4 linked regions of the Caenorhabditis elegans genome follow. The protein of the gene in region 3 purifies or fractionates together with the protein of the main gene of each other region. This does not show direct contact. Each region holds a gene or a part of one and is shown on either strand. Other genes may lie near its edges. The genes, in order: mif-4, Y54E5A.2, acs-18 and R05C11.2.

Evidence for each region.
Region 1: the proteins of acs-18 (region 3) and mif-4 fractionate together in Caenorhabditis elegans (co-fractionation; one large-scale study listed by BioGRID). This does not show direct contact.
Region 2: the proteins of acs-18 (region 3) and Y54E5A.2 fractionate together in Caenorhabditis elegans (co-fractionation; one large-scale study listed by BioGRID). This does not show direct contact.
Region 4: the proteins of acs-18 (region 3) and R05C11.2 fractionate together in Caenorhabditis elegans (co-fractionation; one large-scale study listed by BioGRID). This does not show direct contact.

What each region holds. Positions count from the first base shown.
Region 1 is NC_003282.8:6,334,730-6,337,792, forward strand, and holds mif-4 (Macrophage migration inhibitory factor), read right to left. Parts: upstream 1,266-3,063; 5' UTR 1,259-1,265; coding exon 1,199-1,258; intron 1,155-1,198; coding exon 1,026-1,154; intron 697-1,025; coding exon 520-696; 3' UTR 501-519; downstream 1-500. Other genes in the region: blos-2 (Biogenesis of lysosome-related organelles complex 1 subunit 2), read left to right, coding at 50-154, 201-238; ipla-6 (PNPLA domain-containing protein), read left to right, coding at 2,926-3,043.
Region 2 is NC_003279.8:14,692,444-14,700,184, forward strand, and holds the start of Y54E5A.2 (Recep_L_domain domain-containing protein), read left to right. Parts: upstream 1-1,710; 5' UTR 1,711-1,726; coding exon 1,727-1,796; intron 1,797-1,871; coding exon 1,872-2,146; intron 2,147-2,877; coding exon 2,878-3,109; intron 3,110-4,000; coding exon 4,001-4,095; intron 4,096-4,141; coding exon 4,142-4,259; intron 4,260-4,732; coding exon 4,733-4,904; intron 4,905-4,997; coding exon 4,998-5,025; intron 5,026-5,501; coding exon 5,502-5,680; intron 5,681-6,312; coding exon 6,313-6,415; intron 6,416-6,462; coding exon 6,463-6,560; intron 6,561-6,806; coding exon 6,807-7,058; intron 7,059-7,542; coding exon 7,543-7,604; intron 7,605-7,741.
Region 3 is NC_003282.8:10,310,220-10,315,252, forward strand, and holds acs-18 (Long-chain-fatty-acid--CoA ligase), read right to left. Parts: upstream 3,447-5,033; 5' UTR 3,388-3,446; coding exon 3,301-3,387; intron 3,218-3,300; coding exon 3,044-3,217; intron 2,999-3,043; coding exon 2,801-2,998; intron 2,751-2,800; coding exon 2,606-2,750; intron 2,557-2,605; coding exon 2,175-2,556; intron 2,126-2,174; coding exon 1,928-2,125; intron 1,881-1,927; coding exon 1,271-1,880; intron 1,206-1,270; exon of another isoform or gene 1,185-1,205; intron 1,091-1,184; exon of another isoform or gene 1,000-1,090; intron 970-999; coding exon 826-969; intron 744-825; coding exon 579-743; 3' UTR 529-578; downstream 1-528. Other genes in the region: R09E10.8 (Saposin B-type domain-containing protein), read right to left, coding at 1-109, 156-194.
Region 4 is NC_003282.8:2,056,833-2,060,808, forward strand, and holds R05C11.2 (DUF38 domain-containing protein), read right to left. Parts: upstream 2,280-3,976; coding exon 2,164-2,279; intron 2,116-2,163; coding exon 1,371-2,115; intron 1,325-1,370; coding exon 1,046-1,324; 3' UTR 546-1,045; downstream 1-545.

The sequences.
Region 1 (3,063 bases), 4.0 Mb from region 3:
TATGCCTTTATTATTTATTTCGGAAAATTTATGAAAGATTATTTTCCAGACGAGAATCTGCGTCCATATCTTTCCCAAATTGATGCTATGGATGAGAGCACCCGGAGATTGGAGGAAGCTACCGCTGTTCTTGAAAATTATGTTACCCAACTCGGTAGGTTAAGCCTTTCAAGAAAAAATTCAAAGATTTTTAATTTCAGAATCCAAGCTCACCAACATCCAACAGCAAAGCCAATAAGCCAGCTCAATCTCAAACTATTTCCAGCTTTTCTGTAACTAAATTAATGTGTGATTTCTTATTCACATTCCGTTCAATAATTTATGTAACTCTAGTCATTATATTCAGCATAACTTATTTTTACATTTTCTTGTCAAAGTTTCTATTTCTCATTAATGCTAATTTTGCTCCCTCCCTTTTGCTATAAAATAACTTATGAATTATGCTTTGTCTTGTTTTTTTCGATGTTTTCAGATGTTTACTTCATTGTTAAATCCATGCGTTTCAACTTTTTTACAAATTTATTCATACAAAGAAGCAATTGTCTTCCCTTGAGTTGCAAAACTTTTTGCATCTTTAAAATCAAATGATATGAAAATATGGGCGGGATCAAGCTTCAACTGCTCATTGAGCACTGATGTCAATTTTTTTGCATATGAGTCATTTTCGATTCGAGAAGAAGGCCGGGTTGTTTGGAACTGAAAATTGTTATTCTTAATTTTCAACGAGTTGACATTTTCAAAAAAAAAAAACACGGTCTCTGGTCCCGGCACGTCCAAAACTTGTCAGCTACCGTACCCCGGTATTCTATCACTTTTTAGTTAAAAATATTTTTCTCATAAAATTAACTTATATTTTATGAATCTAGTTAGTTTTTCTATTTTTCACACATTTCTTCTCGATTAAAAAAATTTTAATTATAAAAAAGTTTTCAGATTTTGAAAAATACACAGGTTACTGTAGCTGAAAAATTTTACACGTGACAAGACCCAAGCCTAATATTTTTTCAAAATAAAAAAAAACGCACATTTACAATTGCAACTGGAATTTCTTTATTCTCAAATCCAATTCTCATTCTAACTGCCGGCTCAACAATAATCACGAATTTATCAGCTGGTAATTCCATTACAACTGATAAATTGTAGATCACATCTTGCTGAAAATATTAGAAATTAGAAATTTCGTTTTATGCAAACTTACTTCAAACTTTTCTGGAATATCAGCACTTCGGATGTTGGTTTGAATTCGAACAACTTGCATTTTAATTCTAAAATTTTGAAATTCGGCTTGAAAATATTTTAAAAAAAAGAGAAATTGTCGTTTCGCAACATAAAAACCAACGGGAAAAAATGCTCAGCCAGCTGAGAAAACATGTCGCTCGAAGAAAAGAGCGTGCACTCGACAATAAATACACAACTCCATTTGTCAATGTTATGTGCGCAGGATGGACAGAAATGGGATGACATGGAAACAATTAGTACGGGGAAATGGAAATAAGTTTGACCTTGAATTTTGGGTTGGGCACACGGTTTTTTTGGTGAAAATCGGAAGTAGGTTAGGGAGACACAGATCAGAATGTGTTGCAACAACTAGAAGCAAGAATCACAGTTTTGAATCAATATTATTTATATTATCGTAATTTCATTAGGGTCTCGCCACGATCTCAGTTATGTAGTTGATATTATTCAGATGCAGATTTTCGCGATTTTTGCTATAATAATACGGTACCAGGTCTCGGTACGACAATTTTTCTTAGACACAACCATGTCAGCGCTTTGAACAGTACTGTAGTTTCAAACTATCTTTGTTAACGAGAAGTATTTCCTGAAATTCGTACACCATATTTTTATTGCTGCGCTCCATTTTTCATGACTCATAAAGCTGGAATAGGTTCAAAAACTTTTGTTTAGTTATTCTAGATTACTGTAGACTAAATCAGCTGGCTGCTCATCTCGAAATTTCCAACTCTTTTTTTCCACTCGGCTCAATTCCGTTCGCGATTCGTGACTCAACATTTCGAACTTTCTCTGTCTCATTAAAGTACCTGTCACGTGGGGACTCCCCTCTGTGACGTCACATATCACGTTGTCGTGTGATTTGTCTTCAACATTCTTCTCCTCCCAGACAAGACCACGTGCTTTTCGGTTTAGTGCAGTCTGTCCTTTCCATTTCAATTGTATATATGCATGATGACAGAGAGGTGCAAGAGACTCAGAAATAGAAAGACAATGCGAGAGACAACATAAGACGTGGATACGCAGACGGAGAAACAATGTGGGTAGTGCAAGCTGTGGACTACTGAGTGTTGAAACGAGTGGCGTGATCCTCCCGACCCTGTTCTCTGATGGCCTGAAATAGTGGGCTTTGTCAAGAGATTACAGAGAGACACGGAAAAGTGAGAAACTTTCTTCCGTTCTTTTGAGTTATCACGTAGTTTTCCAAACTGACAAGGTTTCTAAAACTGTTCACTCTTCACTTTTTTTCTGAGATTTGAATTTTTTCAATGAATTTTCCCGTGAATTCTTTGAAATTAACCGTATACAATTCCCACGTCTCATTTTTTAAATTTCTTTTTTATTTAATTATTGTTCAAAAGCGAAATTTTGTTGTTTTTTGCGCCAGAAATACGGCACACGGTCTCGACACGACAAGCATAGGAAATGTGAAAAGACGTGTGCCTTTAAAGATTACTGTAGCATCGATTTGTTGGAATTCATGCGTTTTATTGTTATATTTGAGTTGTTTTAAACATAAATAAAAGTGTTTTTTGTCTAAAAAACTATGAAATTCTATAAAAATTCCGCAACAACCGAGACCTTGTCGCATTTAACTAAAATTGTTCGTGGCGAGACCGGCTACCGTATATCTGGCGCAAAAATCGTAAAATTTCACTTCCGAGTAATAAATAATTATTACCTTTTTTAGATATGGCTACCACAAGTACACTGATCCATCGAACATCCCTTCCACTGCTCCGCCGACATCCGAGTACAATTGATGGTTTAACACCAGAACGACCATTTTTTAGCAGTTCAAATACACAAGGTACAATTTTTTCTGATTTC
Region 2 (7,741 bases), on a different chromosome or scaffold from region 3:
ATTTCCAAAACTTTACAATCTTTTAGAAAATCTAATTCTACACAATTTTGCTTTTACAGTATGCTTCTACCTATCTTACTTGCAGAGATACACCGCTTCAAAGTTTTGAAGGCGAGAGAGTGTGGAAGAGGGAGAGAGCGCAGTGTCTGCGCACTCCCCTCCCCCACACTTTCTCACCCCGTCGAATTTGAAACGCGTGTAACTCTGTGGAAAAAAGAGGTAGAGAAACAATGATAACTGCAAAAATGTAGAGAATTTTGAGGAGAATATTTTGTTGGCTGAGAAAATTTTGATATCTTCATTTTTCAGGAAGATATAGGGGGCTTAAGAAATATTTAGTTAAAAATTCGTAAAACCACGCACAAACAAGTAAAAAATAGCGCGAGTGCTTTTTAAAGCAAAACATCTAGCAAAGGTTGCACATTTTCAAACTAAAAATTTATATTTTTCAATAAATTCAAAGGCACATATGCTCTCTGAGACAAAAAGTGATAAATTGGAAACCTTATAGGATGAAAAGCCAGAGGGGGAAATTGGTTGGTTAGCAACCACCTGAATCCAGTTTCCGTTGCTCTTGGAGCACACACATACGGAAAGGTGGACTTATTGCGTAGAGAATGCAACTATACATGCAAATAGAAAGGAAGGAACTGTGTGTGTGTGTGTTTTGAGAGCGAGACGGGAGAGGGAAGCGATGCTCTTTTTTTCCAATGATTCACTAGGTATTGGTCATTTTCGTGGTAAAACAAACAGTTTCAGACAGTAGAGTATAGGGAAATTGATAATGAAAACTAGACGGAAACATTATGAAATATCATTTGGAAAACTAAAAATTGAAAATTCAAATTCAAACATTCATTTTTCATAAATTTCATAAATGCTAAAACTCAAAACGTTATCCAGTAGAAAATCCAATTCTACACATTCTTGTCTTTTACACTACCTCTCTATCTTTCCTACCCGCCGAGTTACACCACGCTGAAGTTTTGGCGGGTGAGAGAGTGTGGGGGAGGGGGAGAGCGCAGGCAGTGTCTGCACTCTCCCCCTCCCTCGCGCTCTCTCACCCGCCAATCTTAAAACGCCTGTCACTTTGAGCAGAGGAGTGCAATTAAAATATTGTAAATTGCAAAAATGTACAGAATTTCAAGGCGTATATTTTGTTAGTTAAGTAAAATTTGGTAGAATAAGCTTCCGGTTAGATATGGCACTTTTGGCTCTTACCCAATAAATGCAGAATATCTTTGTAGAGCAAAACACTGCTCAAATACACTTTTTAGTTTGAATTTCAGGAAAAAAAAACAAGAAACTAAAAAAAACTCCGAACAATTTGTTTTTATTGCAATATATAGAGAATCAAATTCTGAACATTTTTCCTTTTTACAATATTTTTGTATCTTTCCTCTCTGCAAAGATACACCTCTTCTAAGTTTCGGTGTTGAGAGCGTGGAGGGAGAGGAGAGTGCAGGCAGTATATCTCTCTGCACTCTCGCCCTCCCCCACACTCTCTCACCCCAAAAAACTTCAAACGCTCACAACTTCACGCAGAGAAATGCTATCAAAAAGTGTTTAACTAACAAAATGTAGAGAATTTCACGGGGTATATTTAATTTTTAATTAAATTTTCGATACGATTTATTTAAAAAATATGTTTTTAAAAATAATTTATCACGTAAAAACTTTTTAAATCCATTGAAAAATCAATCTGCTTCATTTCTCCAAACCAACCATGGTTTTGTTGTTCAATTTTCTGAAACTTATGCTTTTTTCGACAGTGCATGGAATTGTTATCGAGTTTGGTAAGGAGACCTCTTCGCTGGAGCGCGTTTGCAGCCCCTTTCTGCAAAGTCTCAAATCTACTGTTTTTTTTTCAGAAAGACGAGCGGAACTCTACTCCCTGTACTCCTCAATTCCATTATCAAAAGACACGTGGAGATTTGAGAATTACCTGAACGTTCACAAGTACAACAATATACTATTCGACGGAAAAATCTTGGAATTCGACTCACTGGGATGGTTAAATGGGAATCAGACGATTTATCACAAATTACCATATTTTATATCGAATCCGGCGTTTCGAATTCCTCATATATCAAAGGAATTGTGTGATTCTAACGGGTTCTTTAATATTGGATTTCGCATTTTTCAGGTTTAATTTTTTTTTCTATTTATTCGATAATTTTTATATAATATTGTTGAATTTTAGCTTTTCGGGCCTAAAAATCTATAAAAACGGCAAAAGTTCGGTGGAGCGCGTTTGCACACTCGCGAATCGTGCCAAGACCAGTTTTAATCAATTTTTAAGATCATAGACAAATGCAGCTGTTTTTCTGCTAGATTTTATATGTTTCTAGTGAGCAAATTCATTTCATGAGCAAAAGAGAAAAAAAAATGATTAAAATAAATTTGGTGAAGCGCACTTTTACACGTGGTGTCAGGCGTTTTCCATAAAGTTTTGTAGATTTTAGTGTTAAAGTTCAAAATTTAGACATGTTATAGAGGCGTAGCGTAAATTTGAATGATCTACAATAAAATGCGGAAATTTTTTGCCCAGTAAAATGTGTCGCCAGCACACTTACAAAATTTGTTGAGAAATCTGCGACTCAATTCCCGCATTTTTTGAAGATCACACCGAAATGGGACACTCTGACCACGTGTTTTATTATCTTTTGCGGGCTTATTCACATGAAAAAAACCGTTTTTTTTCTATAAAATTTTGTAGATTTGAGTGTAAAAGTTCAAAATTTAGACCTGTTATAGGGGCGGAGCGTAAATTTTCAATTGTTTTTCCCGCCCCTTTTTTTTTGAGATCGCCTTCCCCCGATATTTAAATTCTCCAGAAAACGCTGCCCCTGCATCAAAATCAACGTTATTTTGCAGAAAACTCGCGAAGCGGGCCTCCCGTACCAACCGCAATGTGCCACGTGTCATCCGATAATTGAAGGTCTCCATCAAATGTACTACGTATTCCCGGAACGTGATTTCACTCAGATTTTCACGAAATTGACGATCGGCTCTCGAAAAATCAATAATTTATTGCACTATTGTAGTCGGGAGGATTGTGAACAGGAGCCACGTGTCTCGAATTTTCAGGATTACTTGAGAATTAATAGTGAGTGTATTATTTAACTTGGCTGAAAATTAGACGAACTAGCTGAAATTACCCTCAAAGTATCAGAAATTTATTTCTGAATTCAATGAGTCTAGTTAAGCATAGCATACATATCACAAGCCTTCATTATCTCTCAAGGGTACTCCTAAGGTGCTTAGTAGGTACAGTGCACCCAACAGCTACTTTTTTATAGAAAACTAGTATTGGAATTGGAATCAGCATACCAAAAAACCTATGGATCTATAATTTTATCATGATATCTCAAAAGTTGAGTGCAAAAGAGCAAAAAGTTGAAAAATCGACCGCCCAACTGCTATGGGACCCCCCCCCTGCGATTTTCGACAATTTCGCCGAAAATTCTCATTTTTTCAAGAAGCATAAAATTTTTCAGTTTCAAAAATACATTTAATGTAGTAATTTGGTGGTGTAATTTTTGTTTTTCATATCATCGAAATAACTGGAAACCTGCAAAAGCTTGATTTTCAACTTTTTATGACCTTTAAGCCCGACATGAAGCTACTGAGCGGGCTATTTTTTTAAGTTGTAAATGGCTTTTAGCAAGTTTTTTGGTGCCACTTGGTGTTTAAGCTCGTATCTGAGCAGCCGATGGAGCTTTCTTTACAAAATTTTACAGGCTATTTTGCTTAAAAATCCACAAATCATGCACCATAAACAATAGCTTCATCATACTTAAAATAATGTAGTACCATTAAAAACCCTAAGCTTAGTACTTTTGAAGCTTGTATAGTTTATCTAGAACTAGCTTATATCTGTAAATCATCCCGAAATTGAGCCAAATTAACTGAAAATTATTGTGAGCACATTTTTGATTCCAGTCCCTGTGACGCCGTTTTCCTTTTTATATCTTTTGCCAAACTACACCTTCCACAGACCTGCATTTTGGAAAGGTGACAAGATGGAGTGGAGAGCATGGAGCCACTGAAACCGACAGAGAAGCTATAGGGCTCCCCAATGGAGAGCTGGCGGTTGGTTTCCAGGACTTTACTCTCTGAAAAACTCAAAAATTTACAGATTCATTCTCGAAAAATTGAAGGATTTACTACAATGTGTGGAATTGAGTTGAATGGTAAAATTGTGAGCAGCTATAACTTTGTGAATGAGGATATTATTGGGGACGGAGAGCAGAATGGTAAGCTTTATTGACTTTATCGTATAGAAATTCAAATTCTGATTCTTTCTTCGTTTTCCATGATTTCTCTATCTCTACTCCCCGCCGAGATATACCCCGCTTTGAAGTTTTATTAGCGAGAGAGCGCGGAGGAGGGGGAGAGTGCAGACACTGCCAGCGCTCTCCTTCTCCTCTACACTCTCGCATTGGGAAAACTTTGAAAGCTTGTAACTTTGCGCAGAGGAATGCTATCAAAGAGTTGTCAACTGCCGAAATGTATAGAATTTTAATGAGCATATTTTGTTAGTTGGCAACTTTTTCGTGTGATCATTTTTTAAGGAAAAAACTCAGAAATTCCAAAATCCATATAACGTTCTTTATGGATCCCTAGTTAACAACCCTTTCATTTTAATTTATCAGGAAGATATCAAAATTCTGGCAATTAGTTGACAGATGACAAAATATAGAGAATTCCATTGAAAATACAGTTTCAGATAAAATCTTCACCTACGAAAACTACGAGTCTCTGGAAATTTCAATAAACTCTGTGAACGACACTAAGAACAATATTCAATTGTTCATCTCCTGGGATGATTGGGGTTGCTGTTCGGCGTGCTGCTGTCCCACCTCAATCTGTGGACATGATTATGAGACTGCTAGTGATTGGTCAGTTTTCACCTCTTATTTTTAGTACATATTTAAAATTTTCAATGAAAATCAATATTCCGCTCGCACCCGAGTTGGGCATTTGTCGATTAGGAAGTGGAAAATGGAAAAGGAAGCGCAGGTAAGATGGAAGTTATTTGAAGTGGCTGTAGCTTTGTAATAGTACAAGCTACCAAATAGTTATCAACTGACAAGTTGTAGGAAATTAATTTCTCTACAGATTACCAACTTTTTGATAGCTAGGTAACTTTGCGGAGATACAGGAGTTCCTCCAAGATAGTTCGAAAGCTTTCTAGCTCCGTTCAGATGTAAGATCTCAAAGTATTGTTAGCTAGCAAAATGTAGCAAATTAGATTCTTTATAGAATTAACTACTTTTAGTTAACTACTTTTTGGCACCTACAAAATTCTCCGAGTTATAGGAGTTTTGAGATAGCGCTTCACTTCCCCCAGAAGACTAGCCCAAAACCTGTCTAATCCCGTTCAGATACTTGATATCAAAAAGTTGTTATCTATGATAGCAACTTGTAGAAAATTAAATTCTCTACAAAGTGTTCGTTTTACAATTCCCATCACCTCTCACCATTTCAATTTCCAGCCCAACCAACCCAGCGAGTCACTGAACCAACTTCACAGACTGCTCTCAATCCCTCCGTATGCTCATCAGGGAATTCCATTGTTCTCGTCATTGTTGAAAAGAATTGTGCTTGAGGATATTTTAAGAGATATCCGAAGTGATTTGGTGCCAAAGTTCATTGTAGCTAACAAGGCTGCTGGGTAAGTTGAAAGGGAATTTTTAGGTTTTGAGGGGAGGTGGTTAAAAGCTTCTTTAAAACCCCCATATCTTTGCGCAAAAATGAGATACGAAGAAAGTATCAATTAATCAACTTAACTACTTTAAATTTGCTTGAAATTTCTAGTTGACAAGTTTTCTGTAGCTCTTACGGATTCGGAGCTACAGAAATCATAAAAACAGGTGTATTTTTGCGTGGGTGGGAGGCAGAATATTTGTTTTAATTAATAAAATAAACTACATAAAATTTTCTACAAATTGTTAGTTGACAACTTTTATGTAGCTCCTATTACCACCGAGATAAAGCCCGCTGAAATTTTTCTCAAAAATGCTAAAAAACTTTTTTTTTTCCAAAGTTTCAAAATCTTTTTCGCCCATCTTGTAGAGCATGAAATTCTGAGCATTTTTCAATTTTGAGATACACCGCTTTAAAGTTTCTGCGGTGTCTGCGCTCTCCCCTCGCCACACACTCTCTCACTTACCTTGCAAACTTAAAACGCTTATAACTCTGCGGAAAGCAAAGCTAATGAAATTTTGTAAATGGACAAAATATAGGAAATCGAATTCTCTACATTTTGGCAATTAACAGTTTTTTTGATACGACTGCTGTTTCCAGGCACAAATTCACGTCTGGAATGTTCATCGAATTAGAGTCCTGCAAGTCGAATATTCAAAAGACGAATTGCTACGAGTGGGCCAAGTGCCACAATATTTCGATGGTAAGTTCAGTGTAGACAGGCAGGCATGTAGGCATACCTACGTTTAGGAAGACGTCCACGTGGAATCCGAGGAGCAAGTTTCCGATTCGTGTCAGCAAGTGCAATTTATCGATGTGCTCGTTGGAATGGATAATATGAAAGTGACGTGGGTTTTTGCTTCCTTAGTTCAGTAGAGCGCAATTGCAAAATGGGAGACATTGATAAGGACTCGATCATGTTTAAATTTGATTAGGAAATTATTGTCAATCGGATGCAATTGTGCTCTATCGCAAAATTTTCTGGAACAATCGATATTAACAATATCGATTTTTTATTATCGATTCCACAAAAATGCCTACTTGTTCGATAGAGCGCTTTTACATCATCAGGAGCAAAATTATCGATTTTTCAGCGTCGGAGCCCACCAACATCTCCGTATCCGAATGGATTCAGAAGTTCACGATATGCGAACCACGTCCGCCAAATGGAGAATTGATCTTCGAAAACCCAAAAAATACGATAAGAACCGCCCGTGTCTGCTGCAGGGAACCGTGCAACGTGGCGGCGAGCTACTCATTCTTGACTTTTCCACGTGGCACATGAAAATTGATTTGATTTTGGCGAAGGAACGGAAGAAGGTTCGAATCACTTTTCATAATTTAAAGTGAGTTTGGAAATTTTTTGGGAATTTTTCAGATTTTCTTTTTCAGATTTTCAATTTTCAAATGTTTCCAATTTTCCCTGAAACTTTTTATAACATTTAACAATTTCGATTTTTTTCAATTTTCAGAATTTTTCGAAAATTGCTACTAGTTGGGAAAATTCTGGGAAATTAATGTTTTTTTTGAAAATAATGGAATTTTATCGATTTTCCAGAATTTCCTGGAGTTTGATTTATTGCCAAATAATTTTTGGAAAAGTCTGAATAGTTAAAAAAAAAGTTGAAAAACGTCCGAAAAAACGTCGGAAAAATTTCAAATTTTTTTAAGGTTTAAAAATTCAAAAAAATGCGATTTTTAAAAAAAATTTTTGATTTTAGAATTTTCGGGATATTTCAGAAATATCGATTTTACAGAATTTTTTGAGGCTTTTCATGGAATTTGGAATTTTGGGGAATATATATTTGATAACAAATTTCGAACTTTCAGAGTTGACGAGAAGGTTTCTGCAATACAAAATACTGTATTCTATTGGGCGCTGGCAATTGCTGGTAAGAGTTTTTGAAGAAAATTAAAATTGAAATAGTGAGAATTTACAACAAAAAATTCCAATAATTTAATACTTCTGAAAACTTATCGCGTCTAATGAAAGTAAAATGCTGAATTTCAAAAAAAAAGAATCAGCTCA
Region 3 (5,033 bases):
GTGTTTCACATGCACTTCTCAGAGAATCTTGAGCTACTGGCCAAGTCTTTGGAACTTCAATGAATCCACAGTAATTGCAAAATTGTTGAAATTGGGCGTTTGATCCAACCTGTAAATGAAGGCATACACAGAAACTCTAAACATTATATACTTACCAAAAGGGCGAAGAAGAAGAGAGGAAAAATGAGATTCATATTTTGAACGAAATATGCCTAGACACACCCTGTCATTGCTTTTATTTAAAAAATATATGGGAGAACAGTAAGATTCCCATCTTTCACAAAAACCGACTTGGGAAATTCACTAGATTTATTTGTTCTTCTCTGATGATGTCTGTGTGGAGTTAAAACTCTTTGAAAACTATAATCTCTTCGAAAAAAAGAACATCTGAAAACAAAAACATGTAGAGTAGGAAATGTCATATTCGCGAATGTTGTCAAGCTTGGTCATTTAACAATTTTTTTCAAGCTACTCGGCCTTCAATACATGGTATTTTGCAATCTCCATGTTACCTTTAACTAATTTCTCAGATCGTTGGGAGAAGCCTTTTTTAAGTTCTCCAGAAATTTCATTATTGTTCATTTTGCCAAATTCGAAAGTTCACTAGTCTCAATCTTCTTATACATTCCATCAATTTCCGCTTTGAAAAACTGTGCGATAGCATTTCTCTTATTCTTCAATGTAGGTGTTGTCAACCCATTTTCAGCCGAAAAAGCAACTGGCGTCAAGTGAACGCCGTACACCTAAAGTTAAAAACTAAATATTTATTGACATGAAATTCCTAAACAGTGATAAACATGAAATTCCTAAATTCCTAAACAGTACCCCTTCATATCTTGGCCTTTTATCTTCTTCTGTGAGTTCTACAAATTGTCGCAGCACATCATCTGCGAGAATCGGAATGTTGCACAATTGTTCATAGGTTTTCCCATTGATGTTGTGTTTGGTTAGCGCATATGAAGCAAGATACTGAAAAAAAAAGTTTTTAGAAGAAATAATAACAAAAACGATAGGTTCCACCGAGATTTGAACTCGGGTCGCAGGATTCAAAGTCCTGAGTGCTAACCGCTACACCATGGAACCGGACGAAAATCGGTTTCATTCTAGTGTTGACATTTTTGTCATTCTCTATCTCATTCTCTATCAACGGCTTTGAGTCTCCAGTGTCAATATTCATTTCGCAATCATTATCAGCGATAAAAGAAACACAGAAGAATCGAACTTCACATATATGAAATTCTCTGAAACAGTATAAAATTATTATTATTACCTCTGGATCTGGGACAACGATTGCTACAAGCCACGGTTTTTCCATATCGCCATGAACGTAAATCTGTTGGACAAAACTCGAAGAAGTGTAGAGGGATTCTGTGAGATCTGGAGCCACAAACTTTCCTTGTGGCATTTTGAAAACGTTTTTGCGTCGATCAATAATTTGAAGAGATCCTTCAGCAGTGAATCTTCCAATATCTCCAGTTTTCATGTATCCATCTTCAGTGAAAGATGATGCAGTTGCTTCTGGATTCTTGTAATATCCTGAAGTGACGTTATGACCCTTCACAAGTACTTCTCCACCATTTTTATCAACAGAATATCCAAGTTCAGGAACATCAATTAATTTTATCATCGCACAAGCCATCGGTGGTCCAACACATCCAATACGTGTATCTCCAACCAATTGAAGTGTTGTTGGTCCAGATGTTTCAGTTTGTCCGTATCCTTCCAGAACCTCAACTCCAAAAGCCCCACGAGCAAACCTCATTGCGGAAACGTCTGATTTTGCAGCTCCAAGAATCAATTGTCTGATGTTAGGACCGAGAAGCATCTGGATTTTATGCAAAACATACTTATCTACCCATGTTTTACGAGTAGCTTTGCCTCTAAAAAATGATTAAAAAGTGTTTTCAACTGTTCCATCGGAACCTACGTCATCTTATAATGGTATAGTTTATAGGCTATTGCCGCATTCAAAATCATTTTCTTGAGTGGTTTATCCTGAACTTGCTTCATGACTGCCTTATGGATTTTATCAATAACACGTGGAACAGTAGCAAATGACCGAGGAGCCAGAGCCTGAACGTCATCTACTAGAAGCTTGGGATCACCACGAGAAAATCCGATTCGCCTGAAGTTAATTGAAACCGGGAAATTATTATTGAAGTTGAATTTCTTACGATCCAATCATGAAGTTAGAGAGTAGGCAGAGTCTTTCGTAGATATGAGCAAGAGGAAGATAAGACAGATAAGCATCTTGAACTCCAGCTTCATTTTCAAACTCTTCACATGACATTGTGGCGGAGCACATATTCAAATGAGTCAGCATAACACCTTTCGGACGTCCAGTTGTTCCAGAAGTGAATGAAATTGTTGCCAATGTTTCTGGTGTTGGTGGAACATGTGGACGATGCTTTTGTTTCTTTCCCATTTCTACAAACTCATTGAAACTCCAAAGACGGAAATCATTTTCCCGTGCCATTTCTTTAATGTCATCTGAGCACTCGTTAAATTGAACGATATACTTCAAGCTTGATAAATAGGACTTATCGCGAATGAGTTCTGAAATTTACAAAGGTAGATCACTTTTTTTTCAGAAAAAAAAACTTACGTTTAGTTTTTATTTCGGCGTCAACGAACATCAAAGAAATTTCGCAAAGGTTAGTAATATAATGCATATCATCGTTAGTAATAGTGTCGTAAAGTGGAACAGAAACGTTGCTGAAGTTATGTATTGCCATTTCTGAGAGAATCCACTGAATATTCAGAAACAATTGATTGTCATGATTGAAAATTATTATTTTACCTCTGGACGATTATTCGAGTAGATACCAATTTTTGATTCTTCCCCAATTTCAATTCCCAACTTTCTGATAGCTTGTGAAGCATGATCAGATGTTTCGAATGCTTGATCATATGAAATCCATTCCCATTCCAATTTTCCATCTTTCATCACTCTTTTCCCCAACATTTCTTTTCCACCGACAGTTGGTCCACGACGGATCTAAAGTAAACGTTGGTCTATTGAAACATCTGATTAATATTAAACCCCTGAATATGTTGTCAAAACGCCTTCAAACCATCCGTGTTGTAGAGGACCGTCTCCAAGCCACGCAGCCTTTCTACCTCCATCTTCTTGAATAATCGATTGGTTTTTTAGATCACATCTTGGTACACGACGTTTTCCAAAGAAGAATCCACGATCTTGAACGGAAATCGGGTACTGAAACACGGAATATGATGGTAGTTATAGGACGCGCGCACAATTTCTATGAGACGCCATAGAAATTTAATTTCACAACTTACAGTAATCCTAGTAAAAAGACCAGAATATCGAAATGTCAAGCGTGAAATCACTTGTCGGGTAATCAAATTTAATCCTCGATAGGACATTGTAAGCTGACAGCGAGTCACTTGTAAGATATTTGTTCACACGAGAATTAAGACGAAATAATTTGAAAACTGACTGTCAGTGAGTTGAAGATAAAACCGCGTAGAAGATGTCACTGTGTCACGCTTAAAGTTAATTTAAATCTTTAAGAACTTTTTTATCTTTTTCAAACTTTCAACATTTTTCAAACTAATCCTGCTTTTTGCCTTTTTTTTAAAAGAACTCGTCAAAGTTTTTTACATCACAAAAATTTCAAGAAGAAATGAACGCCTGTAAAAGTGCCTACCATGCCAAATTTCAAACAACAGACCGAAATAAATTTAATTTTCTATCAGTAAAGTACACAAATATTTGTAGTTTCTAATGTTTCGTATACATGATTATCATAATCAGGGAAAAACAATTCGACTTCCTGTATTGATGTGAACTTTTCTTGTGATTATACGCACTTCATCAATATAAAACGAGCTTCAGAGCAATGTTATAATTCAAAATAAACTGAAAATGAAGTTTATATCTATCATAATTGTTCTAATGGTTGCACCATCAATTCACTCTTTTCCTGCAAGAAAACGTCGTGACTTGTTTGGAGCCGTTGCTGGAATTGCTGATAATATTGTTGGTGAAGCCGAAGGATTGCTCTATCAGGCAGAGGATGTAATTGGAAAACGTAAAAGAGAGATAACACATACTTTTAGTAACGGTTATTGATTTCAAATGATAGAAAATCAAATATTATTTCCAGAAGGAAAGCTGTCTGAAAACCCCATCGTTCGCCACAAAAGAGATTTGATTGGGACGGCAGCAGGTCATTTCAAGAGTGCAATCAATACAGTTGCTGGAGATTTTTTACAAGTTTACGTTAATGGCTATACTTCTAATTTCAGTGGCTCGCCAAATCAAAAATACGATTGGATAGAATTTTTATGTTATCTGGAAATGTATCTATTCAAACTGTACTTTGTACACTGAGCTAGTTTTTCATCATCATGTTTGCAATATTTTGTTAATCGCTTGTATAAAACTTACAAAAAGTTTGTTTACCGATTTTGATTCCAGTTTTGAATAGTATAATATAGAAAAAATTTCAAAATGATATTCAACAATTGGGAAGCTATATCCCTCTTCATGCAGCCGGTAAAAGTGTATCGCTCTCCTCATACTTCGAGCAAGTTTGAAATTATCAAGATCAAATGAAAAATTGAGAAATAACTTTCTAAGTGTGTCCAGTGTAGTAATGCTTGGCCAATTATTGTTAGTGAAGCGTATCCATTCCTTTACTGCACACTTTACATGCCTAGGAAAAATAGCTAAAGAGGAACAAAATATTAATCATCCAAGTTTGATTCACAGCAAATACTTATTTAAAAAGTTCATTTAAATGTCCATTTTCCTTTTTAATAGTAGAGACTTTTTTCCACATTGTTGTTGGATGGTGGGCGCTGCTGAAATAATTTCTAGACATTGTAATCATTTTCCTAATAAACATACTTTCATTCCTGTCTGGGCTGCCAGATTCGGAGCAAACGGGACTGGAGGTTGAACGACCAACGGTTTCTGAGGAGCACATGAGGTTGTTGGCACTGGAGCAGGAGAAACAGATGGAGATGGGAGAGCAGACACTGTTGGAGGATTTACAGTCTGGATC
Region 4 (3,976 bases), 8.3 Mb from region 3:
CCCGGATCATTTGCTCAATTTCTTCTATGAATTTATTGATTTTTTTTCAATCACCCGGCTTCTTCAATTTTTCTGTATTTTTGTGATTTTTTTCGAATTTTTTGGTTAAAAATTCATCATTATTCGGTGCTTTTTCTCATGTGCTTCTTTCAAAATTCTTCCATGTTTGTTGGAATATATGGAATTTTTATGTAAAAATCTTCGATCTCTGCGCTTTTTGCTTCAATAAAAAAATTTAATACCGCGGAAACATTCGTTTGAAGAAAATTTCTTAATTAAGAAAAAGTTCAATTATCACCTTTTCCAGCAAGTTTCCAGCTTGAAATTTTTTATTTATTTAATTATTCAATCATTTCTCATAGTGAGACTTATTATTGATTTATGCTTTCATTTTGTCAAAGTGCGTCCATTTTGTATATATATATATTTTTTTTTTTTTTATGTTGCACAATATTTTCAGGTTAAACAAATATTTAGATACATTTAACTTTACCGTAAAATATGAAAAGGTGCACAGTAAATTGAGAATAATTAAGAAATAAATGTTTAAATTTATTATAAGTGAATTTATTTATTTATAAAAATAGTACGTGAAATATCTATATCCACGCCATTAAAAATTATATTTAAACGTACAAAAGATTCATGCACATGAAAGTATTGTTTAAATTAGGGTTCCCAGCTGAGTGAGGCGCAAAATGCGGGCCTCACGCCGGCCTCACGCCGGCCGGCCTTCGCCTTCGCCGTTCGCCGCTTTCAATAATAATGACGTGAATTTTAAATTTTAATTTTCAAAAATTCGTTGAAAATTTAGAAAAAAAATATAAGAAATGAAAATAAAAGTTTATGTGTAATTCAGTGAAAGGCGAGAGTGACGCCGTGAGGCCGGCGCGGCGACCGCTGAGGCGGGCGAAGGCGCCTTTGCGGCGACCTCATGGGAGCCCTAGTTTAAATCAGGTGAAAAATTAATATTTGAAAAAAAAATCATTAGGGACAACTTTTCGTCCCGTTGGCGAGGAACAGGGAAGTGACCTTTACAACAGCTCTAGCACCTAGCCGGACTAGATTCCCTCGGAATAGCCGGACTAGATTCCCTCGGAATACGATTAAACATGAATTTTTTAAGATTTTGATAATATCGAATTTGTAGATCATCTGTGTCGTTCATGCAATTGAAAAACCAAATGCTAGGTTGATTATTTGTAGAATCGGTAACTATGCGAAACGGAATTCCCAAAAATCCTTCTTGAAATATAGAATTATTTACGTCACTGTTCACAAATGTGACCTTGAACTGGAGAAAGTCCGGTGAAACTAGGAACATCTGAAATTATTTTTTTTTAAAAATTACATGAGATATTCGAACTCACATCTCTCAAATATATAACATTTTTCAATGATAACGAATCCAAAATTATGTCAACTTTTCTGAAGTGAACAAGATTTTCAACATCACACTTGATAACACGCTTAATAATTGTCAACTCTTTCGCATTCCTCCATTGTTCCATGACCAAAAACTCTTCAATGCTCCATACATCACTTGCAGGTACGTCGAAAGATGTTCCAAACTCAATTTTGTTCAGCTTAGAGGGATCCACGGATTGGAGCAGTTGCACTATGGTTTTTTGGTTTCTTGTTGTGACAACCAACTTTTCCACTGGCAGCAATCGACCCAGCGAGGCGTGCAAATCTTTGAACGATTTCAAAAATCGATTCTCATTCTGGTCCCAGATTGAATGACTTTCTGTTTCCTGGGGATTCCCCTCAATTTCATCCATGTATTTTTTTTCTTCTTCCGTAACATCCTTGAAACTTGACTCGCTGGTTTCATCAACTTGCATAAAATTCATTTTAAGTTCTTCCAAAGCAGATTTTTGATTTTTCAAAATAAGGAACAAGTCGTTTGAAAAGTTGCCGTAATCCAACTCGCTAGATTTTCTGGATAATCTTGAAGCCTTATATGAAACTTTTCGGTTTGTGGATTCGGTAAACATCTCAAGAAGTGCGCACCCAATGCTTTGAACATGAATGCCGATTTTGAGTAATTTATGGTCTGGTTTGATAAGGTCGATGCACTGACGGCTTCCATAAGAAATTTTACGGAGCACTTGTCTGAAAAAATAAAATTCAAGCTAAAAAAAATCAAAAGACTTTACATACATATCAAAAAAATCGAGACGTTCAACAACGCTGTTCATAATCACAGTGTTGTAGAACCACAAAGTGCTTGATATCGATGAGCCAGAAACTTCAGACAAAAGCTTCGTTTCATCCATTGTCAGCTGCTCTAGCTGGTTCTGAATAGTTGCATTGTTAACAATAATTTCGTTTCGTGCAAGTATTACACTGTAGGAGAAATAAAATATGCCTGTTCTGTGCTAACTCTAGCTTTTTCTCGTGTCGGGCCATAAATTGAGCAAGATTTTGGCAAAACTTGGTTTAGGTTGCTCTTGATCTGCCACTCTTATCTAATTAGGAAATAATGTTAATTGGACATTAAAAAAGACAGAAGTGAAATGGAAGATCAGATTTTTGGCTACATGAGTTTTTTTGGGGTTACCTGGAACTTAGCAGAATAAAAAAGAATTTAAAAATGATTGCAATGTTCCTATTCGTGTATTTTTTTTTTTCGAAAGTTTTCGAAATTTTTTGTGATGTCTCATTATGAAATTCGGTGGTTTTGGACCAGTTTTAGTCTATTTAAGCAAAATATCCACAAACTCTACTCCCCCTTTAAGTTGATTCACAATTTGGAGAAAAATGCAAATTTAACGAAAATCTGAACTTTTGCCATGATGTCAATGTTATGCCGCAGTGACCGAAAGTTGAAATAATTTAATTCGCACTCTAGTTTGCATGTGGTAATTGGTACATTCAATTTCTAAGTCACAACATCTTGACAGTTTTTCCACACAGCAGGACACACGAATTCTTTTTCAGCATCAGATTTTGTCAGCTCCAAAACTGTTGTACAGGCTCACCTGCTAAAGGTCACTCTCTCGCAAAATATGTAGGAGGCAGTTATATTGCCTGTGTATCTCTACAAACTCAACTCTCTCTATACGCTCACAGGCCACTCCCGTTGTGGGGGAAAAACGGTCAAGATGTTGTGACGTAGAAATTGTAGGTACCAACTATGCTCACTTACCAATTATCAACATGCATAGTCGGTACCTTTTCACTAGTCAAGAACATTGATCACATAGAGTCTACAAATTTTCTGACCGAATATATGTTAATTGGAAATAAAAGAAAAGAGCCAAACTTTCGACGCTTTCACTAATTAAATAATTTTTCTGGGCTTCTTTCCGTTAGTTTTTCGTTGTTCTTTTTGTTGCATAGATTGCATAGCAAAAATAATTTATTCATAGGAAAATTGACAACTGACAAAATTGCCGAAAAAAAATCTAAATAACCCCTATGCAAATTTAGCTATTTACCTGTTAAGTTTTCCAGGTTTTCATAAATTCCCCAAATCCAAGTACTGCTCTAAAACAAATAATCTAAAAATTGTCCAGCTTGAAAAACAAATACCCATCTTCCCAACGTCTTCCAGGAAATTCTAACCGCAATAATATTTTCCTGCATTGCATCCAGATGTTAGTTATTGGAAATATATGAACATGCGAAACGGAAACCAATATTTTCTTGGAACATCTTAAAATGAATGAGATTAGTTTTTCTTTGTATAGAGCTTCTTTACACCTATTACCCTACTCATATGAGTTGATTAAATGTATGGGTACTGTAAGGGTACGGTAGTTAAACTCAAAACTGAACTGTTATTATAATTCTTGCCTACTAATATTTACTGTTGAATTTAGTCATTACGGCCCATTTTCTATTATTTAAAGCAAAAAAATTGACTCTACTCCAGTGGTGGGCGGCAAACGATTTTTTCCGGCTAATCAGCAAATTACCAGAATTGAAATTATAGGCAAATCGGCCAACCAGAAAATTGCCGATTTGCCGG